Linked DNA regions of Ovis aries. The protein of the gene in region 1 purifies or fractionates together with the protein of each later gene. This does not show direct contact. Links are inferred from orthologs where the notes say so. Each region holds a gene or a part of one and is shown in the gene's direction. Other genes may lie near its edges. The genes, in order: ANAPC2, ANAPC13 and ANAPC7.

Region 1 (3,745 bases):
CATCCCGTCACCCAGAGCCACTGAAGCTTGGCAGTTGCCTCTCTCGGCACCAAAGACAACAAACCGAGAAAGCTGCTTCCCTGAAGAACAAAGGTGCTTTAAAGACAGGCTTGCGGGGGGCGCTGAGCCGCAGGCAGGACCCCCACCCGCGGCCTCATCAACTCTCTTTGCCTCCACTGCTCTTCTGCTCTGAGGCTGTAGCCTTCGTCAGGTTCCCCGCTTCTCGCTTCAGGACACTAAGCAGAGTCTGCGAGCTCTCCAGGATCTGCGGACAGAGACGCCAGCCAGTTAACACTCTTCCCCCCCCCCCCCCCCCCCCCACCCCCCGCCCCGTCGGAAAGTTGCCACAGCCCGGCGCCCCATCCTGCGCTGGGCCCGGCTCCCCTCTGAGTATAGCCCAAAGCCCACTGCTCACACCCCGGGAATCCAGGCCCCGGTTGGCTCCCGCTCCCGCTGCTGCTCAGTCTGGAGCCAGCGACACGGCGACAAGACGCCAACAGTAGGACCCAGGCCTCGCTGTCACTCCACGGGGGCCGACGACCTGTCTAGGCGCCCCGGGGCCAGCACCCGGACCCCGAGCCCCACCTTGAGGTAGGCGGCTTCTGTCTCCGCGATGGTCCGATCGAACTCGTTCCGAGAGGCGATCTTGCGCGCCAGGTTCTCGTTGACTCGGGCCAGCTTCTCCGTCAGCTGCCTCACCTCGTTCTGCAGCCTCTGCTTTTCCTCCTCCTCCTGCTGTATCTGCCGGCACAGCTCCTCCCGCTTCTGGCACAGCTCCTCGATGCCTGGGGCGAGCGGGGAGCGGGCGCGGTGGGCGCCGGGGGCCGCGGTGGGCACGGGAGCGCCGGCCCCAGCGCGCGAGGCGAGCGGCCAGCGAAGGCCCGGGCGTCCAGACCAGGCCGGCGGCCGGCGTCCCAGAGCGTCTGCCGTCTCAGGAGGCCCCGCGCGAGCCCCCGTGCTGTCTGTGGGGCTGAGCGCGCCCAGGCCCCCGCACCCTGCTCGCGCCATAGACGCCGGCTCTCGGGGCGGCCACTCCGCGGCTCCGCCCGGCGTCCGGGCCGCTCCGGCCGGAACAGCCGCGCGCGGCGGGCCAGCGCCGGCCCGGGCCCGCAGGCCGGCGACCCCGCCGCCCTCCCAGCCTGCCCGCCGGCCTCGCCGCGCGGCCACTCACACTTGACCAGCTCGTTGTTGTAATTCTGCAGCGCCGCGCCCTGCTGGGTCATGGTCGCCGCCGGGCCCCGCCGCCCCAACCGCCGCTGCAGCCCCCCTCAGCGCCTGCGCACGATCTCCGCTCGCCCCGCCCCCGGTCGCGTCACCGCCCCTGCGCCTCTCGCCGCGCACCGTGTGCGTCATCGTCGCGCGCGCGCGCCCAATTTGGCGTCATCGCGGCGCGCCTCGCCGAGCGGCTCTGAGAGCTGGTGGGCGCAGATGGCGGCGGCGACGGAGGCGGGCCGTGACGCGGGGCCTGCGCAGGAGCTGCTGGCGGCCTGGAACACCGTGAGCACCGGGCTGGTGCCTCCGGCCGCGCTGGGACTGGTGAGGCCCGAGATGAGGGCGACGGGCCGGCGCGGGGTGCCCGGGGCCCCGAGCCCGCCGGCGCCCGTCCTGGCTTCCCTGCGTGTTCCGCAGCCCTTCCCTCGCGTGGGCCTGCGTCCCTGCGAGGAAGGGCGGCGGGGTTCCCGTGGCCTTCCATCCGCGCTGTCCCTTTCCCACTTTTTCTCACCTGTCTCCACCCTCTCCGCCTCCGCGGTGCGTCCCCTTCTCATGGTTTTCTGTACTGCAGGCGTCCTCTCGAACCAGCGGTGCCGTCCCTCCAAAAGAGGAGGAGCTCCGGGCGGCGGTGGAGGTGCTCAGGGGCCACGGTCTGCACTCGGTCCTGGAGGAGTGGTTCGTAGAGGTGCTGCAGACCGACCTGCAGGCCAACATCTCCCTCGAGTTCTGGAATGCCATCTCTCAGCGCGAGAACTGTGCGGACGAGCCCCAGTGCCTTCTGTTGCTCCTCGATGCTTTCGGTCTGCTGGAGAGCCGCCTGGATCCCTACCTGCGTAGTCTAGAGCTCCTGGAGAAATGGACTCGCCTGGGCTTGCTGTTGGGCACCGGTGCTCAGGGGCTTCGGGAGAAGGTCCACACCACGTTGCGGGGCGTCCTGTTCTTTTCCACTCCCAGAGCTTTTCAGGAGATGATCCAGCGCCTCTACGGGCGCTTCTTGAGAGTTTACATGCAGAGTAAGAGAAAAGGGGAAGGAGGCACAGACCCGGAACTGGAGGGGGAATTGGACAGCAGGTATGCCCGCCGCCGGTACTACCGCCTTCTGCAGAGCCCGCTGTGCGCGGGGTGCGGCAGTGACAAACAGCAGTGCTGGTGCCGCCAAGCGTTGGAGCAGTTCCACCAGCTCAGCCAGGTCCTGTGAGTACTTGGCCTGCGTGTCCTGTGTCCCTGTCCCTCCTGGCTCCTGCTTGTCACTCTGGGTCCCGCCGGCCCCTGCAGAGAGCTGGTGAGCTAGCTGGGGGTGGTCTCTGCCGCTCGCCCTGGTTCCCAAGGGTTCTCAGGATGTGTGTTTTCTATGAGTTTATGCCTCTTGTCCTTGCCTAGGTGTGTCTGTTATTCACCCTGGCTCAGGTGAATTCACCTTTGTACTCTGCTTACGCTAAGACTGCTTGATTCTACGTGTCCCGGGCTGTGCAGAATTCTGCTGTGCCTGTTGTAGGCTCTCGGAAGTGGAATGACATTTGTCTTGGAATTGAGAAAAATACGCTTGCTGTTTCTTCTCTGTAGAGCAAGTCAGAGATTAGACCAGCATGCTGGGCAAACTGATGGCCTTTCTAGCCTTGTGAGGGGGGAAGGATTCTGTTGTCAGACCCAGGCCCTGTCGTGCGGGTCCCCGGCTCTCTGGGTGCTTGCTTGTGTAAAGTCCCTGTTCGCTGTCGCTGCGTCGGGTCTGGACTGCGGCGCATGGGGCCTTCGCTGGCCTGCACGGGCTTCTCTCTCACTGTGGCGTGTGCACTTAGCTGCCCCGCGACACGTGGGATCTTAGTTCCCTGACCAGGAATTGAACCTGTGTCCTCTGCTTTGGGAGGATTACTAACCCCTGGACCGCTCGGGACGTCCCGTGGCCCCTTGTGATGATTTTGTCAGTGTGAATGGAGTGGCAGCTGCGCAGCCGTCAGAGTCTTCTCACTGGGCTGACGGTGTGGCGTGCTCCCCAGAAGCTTGGTTCTCTTGGGCTTTTCTGCCATCATGGGTCGGGATCAGCACTGAGAAGCAGAGACTGCTACGTCTGTGTTCACGTGGCCGGAGTAGTGACTTCTCTAGCTATTGTTTGAGGGCCATTGTTAGGAGGTGGACGAGGCCTTGGCCCCAGTAGCCAGAGGTGCTGACCCCTTGGGGAGAGTGGGAGGTGCCTTACCGGTGCTGCCATCTCAGCCGCTTTGTCTTGAGTTCCTCGGGGCGGTTTTGCCCCAGCGGGAGGGCTGCAGGAGGCTGTGCTGAGGGTGCGCGGCGGGTGCGTGCGCTGCGTGCGACGTGGGCGGGGCTCTCCTCCAGGCACAAGCTCAGTCTGCTGGAGCGGGTCAGCGCGGAGGCTGTGACCAGCACCCTGCACCAGGTGACCCGGGAGCGGATGGAGGACCGTTGTCGGGGCGAGTACGAACGCTCCTTCCTGCGTGAGTTCCACAAGGTGAGGCCCCTCCCGCGGATGAGAAGAGGCTGCTGGCAAAAGTGACTAGGTGCCTTGGCTTTAGAAGTG
Region 2 (3,690 bases), on another chromosome or scaffold:
ACTCTGCGCAATACGCATGCTTTAACTAGACGCTGTAAATGAACACGAGTCGCTGACAGCAAGCTCACTTTTACTCTCTGATGTTGTAAAAACTACATTATGAGCCTAGGTTTACTGCTTCCAAATATGTTCATGATTATAGTGCTTTATGGGCCCATCCCTTTTTTTCTCTCACTTTATTTCGCATCCCTGATTTCTATGGAGCAATAAGTTCAGGGTTCCCCAAATTCTGTCCTTCATGATTTCTGCCACATTACCATACCTCTGGAACTAACATTATGGTTTTTAAGTCAATTATTTTTAAAAACTTGCTAAATTTCCCACCCATAAATGAACCACTATCACCTGCCGTCAGCAACCTAAGCCTCAACAAGGCTAGGAAGGATGCTAGCCAAATGAGGCAGCCCAGGCGGGAGGGCTGGGCCGGGGGTACCTCCCCAGAAGTGGCAGCCTGACTCGCTGCCGACTCCGCTGGGAGAAGCGGAGCAGCTCGCCCACCCCGCCGCCCTCCCGCCGGCCGGCCTCAGGGGAAGGGCTGACCACCTGGCTAGCCCGGACTGCGCGCCGTGGGAGGCCATATCTTGCTTCGCGGGTCTGCGAAGCGTTTGCGGCGAGGAGGGGCGGGGCGCCGGGGCGGAGCCGGGCCGGCGGAGGCGAGCCTGGAGGCCAGCGGGCGGCTGAGGAAGTCGGCCCCCGGCCATTCGGCCGCTCAGTCTGCGGCCCCACTGCAGCCAGGGCGGCCTCCGGCTCCGGACACCGGCACCCGTCGCCTGTTGGACTTTCACACATGCGGTTACAGGCCTGCCACGAGCGCGCCCCCGAATCTTCCCGCCGTTACCTCCGGACGGGGGCGCGCACGCGCGTCACCGCCAACCTGACGTCCAGTCACGGTCTTCGGAACATTCGTTCCGCCTACTGCTCCCTGACTTTTAATTGAAGCAACGTCCTCCTTGACCCCCCCCCCCCTCCGCCCCGCCAAATGGGCTCACCGACTTCCGGGGATCGGAGAGCAGGGCGCCTCGGCCACATGACCGCTGGGGGCGTGGTTCTGGCTGTGCTGGGCCAGTGCTGGTAAAGGTTTCCCGCGCCCTAGCTTAGGTAGTGTAGGAGAAGCGCATGTTCGGGTTTCGGCCGATCCTATCGGCAGAGGTCGTTGCCCTCACCTCACCCTGATAACTACCTCCCTTACCGCTCGTCGGGAGGGTAGAAAAGGACTTACACGAAGGCCCTGGACTTCCCCCGCTTCCGCATTTGGTAGAGCCCGCCTTGGGCCGGAAGCCGAGGTTATGGGGCGGGATCCCACGCCTGTACGGACGGTGGTGGCCCGAGAGGGTCATATTTAGCGGGGGGGAAAGGGCATTCCAGGTTTGCTCTTTTAACTGCAAGTTTACCGATCTCTAAAACAGAGGTGAATAAAACTGCCCCTGTCCCGAAGAAACGCACGCACCGCTTGTCTGGGAAGACCCTGTAACGGGCAATGTAACAAGCCCCTGATGGGGCCCATTCACTGCGCCCCGGGAAATATGGAACCTGCGGAGGGGCGGATATCGCGTTCTTCTTGGAGCTTAGAGAAAGCTTCCTGCAGGAGGCAACCTGGGAGCTAAGTTGTTTAGAGTGACTGGGGGTTAGCTGAGGAAAAAAGGAAGAAGACAGAGCATTCCAAGCTTTGGGACAGTCACGTGTGTAAGATTTTGTTCAGGAAAGTGGTAACAGTTAATTATGGGGACTGGCAAGTGCCTGGGACGCTGGCTGTGACCTGGTCATTGCCCGCCTTGTACTTTCCACGCTTCCAGCCCCTGAAGAGTGACGGCACCTTAGCGCCTAACTCTGGAAATGAGATGTTAGCCCCGATGAGCTGACACTCAACTTTGAGTTTGGAAGGAAAAATAGGTGTTCGTGATGGGGCAGAGAGACCTTTTTAGGTGCAAAGGCTGGAAAGTGTGACAAGTTAGATATATTCTAAAGAAGAATAGGTGAAAAACTATTTGAGGCCAAATTGAGGGAAAACATGCTGAATCATTAATAAAAAATTTACGCACAGCAATTGAAAACAATAATGCTTGAACCATCAGTCATAAAGCCAACTTAACTTGCCTAGTGAATCATAAAAACAAGGAACCATTCAAGGGCAGAATGCATGCTGACGCTGAGTGATCCGAGAAAACTTTACCAAAAAATGGAATCTGTGTGTGACTAGGAAGATCAGCTGGGAGGTACTGTGATGTTATAAAGAAACTGTAATCTAATCCAGGTGAGATGAGTCTCCCTGGATGATCCAATGCCAAAACCCACACTAGAAAGCCTAGAGAACCCTAGTGGCTGGATTACATCATCTTTTCATTCTTCATGTTTAAGAAATAACCTCTTTGGTTTACAGGTCCCATCCGACAAGATCAAAGCTGCAAGAGAATGGACAGTGAGGTACAGAGAGATGGAAGGATCTTGGATTTGATTGACGATGCTTGGCGAGAAGATAAGCTGCCTTATGAGGATGTTGCAATACCACTGGTAGGCTGAAATGTGTGCTGAGGGTGATGGGTTAAAGGTCTGATCTGGTAGACCCTAGTAGGTGTAGGTTATCAATGGACAAATAAATTAAAGTCAAAGAAATCAAAACTATGGAGTCCTCTGACTCTAGAAACCTCTGGAGAGTATTTAGCTCAACTTTGTATTTGAAGAGAAATGTGGTTCAGATTGCTGAGGTGACTAGCTCAATTAGAGGTCATATGAGAACTAGAACTGAGGCCCTCTGAGCCATGTTCTGTCCACCACACCAAAGGGAGTAAAGAATTTAATGCACACCATGAGGAGGAACAGGAAGCAGTGGTATATGCACTTAATTTCTCTACCTGTGGCCTGTCATTTTTAGAAACTCACAGTTTTGGAACACATATCTATTCTAGGTTCCCTGGAAAATATTCAGAAGAGACCTGGCTTTTCTTCTTTTACATTTAGATCATCAAGCTCTTTTCTTTCCTAATCTCTGGAAAATTATTCTGCAGGGAGTTTGTTAAGCCTCACGTCATAAGATCTAAACGTTTTACTCGAATAAATGCTTACTAAAAATTCTGTCATAGAATTTTTGTCATAGAAGCCTAACAAGAAGAATAAGGATTGTTTTTCTGTAGAGCCTGCCAAGAGTTGTTGATTAAATAGAATTTGCAAGCAGGTGGTCTGCTGTGGCCATACATGTTTTCATTTAAGAATAAGAGGTAATGTGTTCAAGGAATAATACACGTAACAGATAATAAATGACAGCTTAGTTCAAGTTTAGAAAAATAATCAAAAGAGCATAATAAGAATTATAGCTCCACTTTCATTGAATACCTGTTTTGTGCCATGGGCTGAGGTTGAAACCTGACTTATTTTATCTATATCCTTAAAAGAACCTTCAGGGGTGATGATGATGTCCCCACTGTACAGGAAGAAAATAGGATCAAAGAGGAGATCTTGCCCAAAGGTTGGTAGCTAATAAGCTAGACTTCACACTGAGGTCTGTGAGGCTCCAGATCCTGTCCTGTGGACTTTTGTTGGTTCTTTCATTCCACAAGCAGTTCTTTGAAGCCTATTGTGTGCCTTAAGACTAGGTAAACATAAGGATGTTTCCTGCCCCTCTGAATCTAGAAAGGCAACATACATCAAAAAATAATTGTAATAGTAAATGTTCTGAGTGGAGGTCATGAACAGCTA
Region 3 (3,645 bases), on another chromosome or scaffold:
TATCAGACCAGATGCCATGATCTTAGTTTCTGAATGTTGAGCTTTAAGCCAACTTTTTCACTCTCCTCTTTCGCTTTCATCACGAGGCTTTTGAGTTCCTCTTCACTTTCTGCCATAAGGGTGGTGTCATCTGCATATCTGAGGTTATTGATATTTCTCCGGGCAATCTTGATTCCAGCTTGTGTTTCTTCCAGTCCAGTGTTTCTCATGATGTACTCTGCATATATGTTAAATAAGCAGGGTGACAATATACAGCCTTGACATACTCCTTTTCCTATTTGGAACCAATCTGTTGTTTCATGTCCAGTTCTAACTGTTGCAGCCTGACCTGCATACAGGTTTCTCAAGAGGCAGGTCAGGTGGTCTGGTATTCCCATCTCTTTCAGAATTTTCCACAGTTTGTTGTGATCCACACAGTCAAAGGCTTTGGCACCGTCAATAAAGCAGAAATAGATGTTTTTCTGGAACTCTCTTGCTTTTTCCATGATCCAGTGTGTCTCCCTAAATAGAATGTCAGAGCTGGAATAGGTCTCAACTGTCTGAACTGTACCTTTCAATCCTTAACTTTTCTTTGTCACTTTATATTCAGTGTTTAGCCTATCCTTTTTTAAAATTATTTTGTATTAAGATAAAATTTGCATACCATCAGATTCATGCTTTTAAAGAATACATTTCTGTGGTTTTAAGTATATTCACAGAGTTGTACAACCATCACCAATGTTTGTTCTAAAGCATTTGTATTATCCCCAAAGAAACCCCAAATCAGTTAGTAGTCATAAATCCCACTTGCCCCAGCCTTTGGCAGTTACTAATCCGTGGTACCTGTTCTTGAGTATCCTTCATTTGCTGAGCAATTAACCATCTACAGAGTTCTTAGACTATTTTTTCTTTTTAAGTGGCAGCAGCTTGTGCCTGTCCGGAGAAGGCAATGGCACCCGACTCCTGCCTGGAAAATCCCATGGATGGAAGAGCCTCGAAGGCTGCAGTCCATGGGGTCGCTGAGGGTCGAAACGACTGAGCGAATTCACTTTCACTTTTCACTTTCATGCATTGGAGAAGGAAATGGCAACCCACTCCAGTGTTCTTGCGTGGAGACTCCCAGGGATGGGGGAGCCTAGTGGGCTGCCATCTATTGGGTCACACGGAGTTGGTCACAACTGAAGTGACTTAGCAGCAACAGCTTGTCCCTGTCAAAGAAAAAATGTAAATTTTAACTAGATGAGGGATGGGATTGGAGATTAAAAATACAAGTTTCCCATTAAGATTGGTGGACACTTCTGGCACCTATAACACTTGCAAGCAATATTCAATATTGAAGGGGACATTCTGAAATGTATTTCTTCTGTTACTATGTCCTTACACCCCTGAGACTCAAGGAAGTAATCTTCTAGTGCTAGTGAAGTTTATTTACTTGCTGCTGCTGTTTACTTACTAAGTCGTGTCCAATTCTTTGCTACCCCATGGATTGTAGCTTGTCAGGCTCCTCTTTTCGTGGGGTTTCCCAGGCAAGAATACTGAAGTAGGTTGCCATTTCCTCCTCCAGGGATCTTCCAGACCCAGGGATTGAACCTGTGTCTCCTGCTTGGCAGGTGGACTCTACTACTGAGCCACCTGGGAAGCCCCAGTAAAATTTACTTACATATGGAGAGAAAAACAGCTTCTATCAAATACAGCTAATCCTCTCATCTGTTCCATTCTGTCCCATTGGCTTGTCCTAGTCTTTTTCTGTATTTCAAATATTCCCATTTTCTTCAGTATTTGAAGAGTTTCAAATTCCCTCCAAACCTCTTTTTGTTAACACTTAGATAAAAAAGATTCAGAGTGGTGGGTTTCTCTTTTGCAGTTTTTTAACCCTTCTTTGGCAGTATTTGGTAATATTAAGTCATGATTGCTCTACTTTGTCTGTATTAGCCTGAAAACTCGATGTTACTGTGAGAGTATTAATTCTTAAGGGGGCTTGGGTTAAAGAGGGGGAGGAAAAGATGTACACCTGACCCTTGAGCAAGTTTCAGAGGAGGGTAGGAGGCTCACAGTCAAAAATTAATATATAACTTATATTTGGCTCTTTATGTATGCATTTCCTTTGAGTTTGCAGTTCTGCAAACATAGATTCTACCAAGATGGTATATACTCCTGTAGTGTGTGCTATTGAAAAAAGAAATCTACATATTGATGGACCCTGTAATTCAAGCCTGGTTTGTTCAAGGGTCAGCTGTATTAATATTTCTCTTTGTATATCTCTGTATTACTGAATTTGATTTAGAAGTATCATTATTTTCATAGTAAAGGAAAACAATTTAAGGCAATTTTCTACATATGTTGACAGTATTAACATGGAGTATGAGTCTTGGCTCTTTTTTTAGGGACTAGCAATTAAAGTAATTGCCTTTGTTTTTTGGCTTATGTAGACACTAAGGAGGGCGTTCTTTCTGACATTTCAAAATAACCCATGTAGGGGGTATACTTTCTTTGTTTTTCTAGTGAGTTATTCTCCCCATCTCAGAAGTACCAGCTTTTGGTGTATCATGCAGATTCTCTCTTTCATGATAAGGAGTATCGGAATGCTGTGAGTAAGTATACTATGGCTTTACAGCAAAAGAAAGCCCTAAGTAAAACTTCAAAAGTGAGACCTTCAACTGGAAATTCTGCATCCACTCCGCAGAGTCAGGTAATTGGAGATAGATGTGTGATATGTTTCTGGTTTGTTTGTATTGAGAGCAGGAGAGGTGGAAGGAATGTAAGACTGCTGATTAGATGTAGAAGATGTAAAATAAAAAGTAATTTTAAGGACTTCCCTGGTGGCTCAGTGGTAAAGAATCTGCCTGTCAGTGGAGGAGAAATGGGTTTGATCCCTGATCTGGAAAGATCCCACATGCCCCGGAGCAACTAAGCCCATGCACCATAACTATAGAGCCTGTGCTCTTGAGCCCACGTGCTCTAGAGCCTGTGGTTGACAAGATAAGCCACCACAATAAGTAGCCTGTGTACTGCAACTAGAGACCAGCCTGCCCCCCCGCCCCCCGCTGCTCACTGCAACTAGAGAAAAGCCTGCACAACAATGAAGATTCAGCACAGCCAGAAATAAATTAAAAAATTTTAAAGTAATTTTAAAGGGGAGCTGACTGGAGAAACAAAAGTTAAAAACCACTTAGGTACAAGAATTCATCCAACCAAGCACAAAGGGCTAAAAACAAAATTCACTCTGGATGAATTGAAAAATAGAATTATCTGGGCTCTAACCAAAGTCATGTATTATTCCTCCCTTTTATACAAACAGAGTTAAGTCTAAAATGGTTTTTTTTTTTTTTTTTTAAATTTCAAGATGTCAGTCAGTTCTTAGGATTGTGAATACCTGGGGAAATTCATATGAAATTATCTTACGAGTTCTTACTAGTTTTGGTTGCTTGATGATTAAATAAATGAAGGGTAAAAAACTAATTTCACCACTTGACAGTCATACCATTGCTAGATATTTACTGTAATTGATTCACAAAAGGTTTGCAAGGGTATATAAGTAAGGCTGCTTACTGTAGCACTGTTTATAATGGTAAGAAACTACAAGCAAAAGTGTTTATCAGTAGGATCTAGTTATAGTGTAGCCCTAGGATGGGATATTGAGGAAGTGAAATATAGCATTGTATGCGC

Evidence for each region.
Region 2: the proteins of ANAPC2 (region 1) and ANAPC13 purify together in Homo sapiens (affinity purification with mass spectrometry; 3 studies listed by BioGRID and IntAct, counting the BioPlex papers as one, with this or other methods). This does not show direct contact. The link is inferred for Ovis aries from reciprocal best matches to the Homo sapiens genes ANAPC2 and ANAPC13.
Region 3: the proteins of ANAPC2 (region 1) and ANAPC7 fractionate together in Homo sapiens (co-fractionation; 6 studies listed by BioGRID and IntAct, with this or other methods). This does not show direct contact. The link is inferred for Ovis aries from reciprocal best matches to the Homo sapiens genes ANAPC2 and ANAPC7.

What each region holds. Positions count from the first base shown.
Region 1 is NC_056056.1:747,645-751,389, forward strand, and holds the start of ANAPC2 (anaphase-promoting complex subunit 2), read left to right. Parts: upstream 1-1,400; 5' UTR 1,401-1,428; coding exon 1,429-1,536; intron 1,537-1,783; coding exon 1,784-2,406; intron 2,407-3,543; coding exon 3,544-3,676; intron 3,677-3,745. Other genes in the region: microtubule nucleation factor SSNA1, read right to left, coding at 158-265, 586-785, 1,172-1,223. UniProt on the Homo sapiens protein: Together with the RING-H2 protein ANAPC11, constitutes the catalytic component of the anaphase promoting complex/cyclosome (APC/C), a cell cycle-regulated E3 ubiquitin ligase that controls progression through mitosis and the G1 phase of the cell cycle.
Region 2 is NC_056054.1:255,496,262-255,499,951, forward strand, and holds the start of ANAPC13 (anaphase-promoting complex subunit 13), read left to right. Parts: upstream 1-789; 5' UTR 790-1,098; exon of another isoform or gene 1,099-1,219; coding exon of another isoform or gene 1,220-1,251; exon of another isoform or gene 1,252-1,273; intron 1,274-1,303; exon of another isoform or gene 1,304-2,251; intron 2,252-2,377; 5' UTR 2,378-2,409; coding exon 2,410-2,508; intron 2,509-3,690. Other genes in the region: CEP63 (centrosomal protein of 63 kDa), read right to left, coding at 544-789. UniProt on the Homo sapiens protein: Component of the anaphase promoting complex/cyclosome (APC/C), a cell cycle-regulated E3 ubiquitin ligase that controls progression through mitosis and the G1 phase of the cell cycle.
Region 3 is NC_056070.1:54,333,895-54,337,539, reverse strand, and holds part of ANAPC7 (anaphase-promoting complex subunit 7), read left to right. Parts: intron 1-2,481; coding exon 2,482-2,668; intron 2,669-3,645. UniProt on the Homo sapiens protein: Component of the anaphase promoting complex/cyclosome (APC/C), a cell cycle-regulated E3 ubiquitin ligase that controls progression through mitosis and the G1 phase of the cell cycle.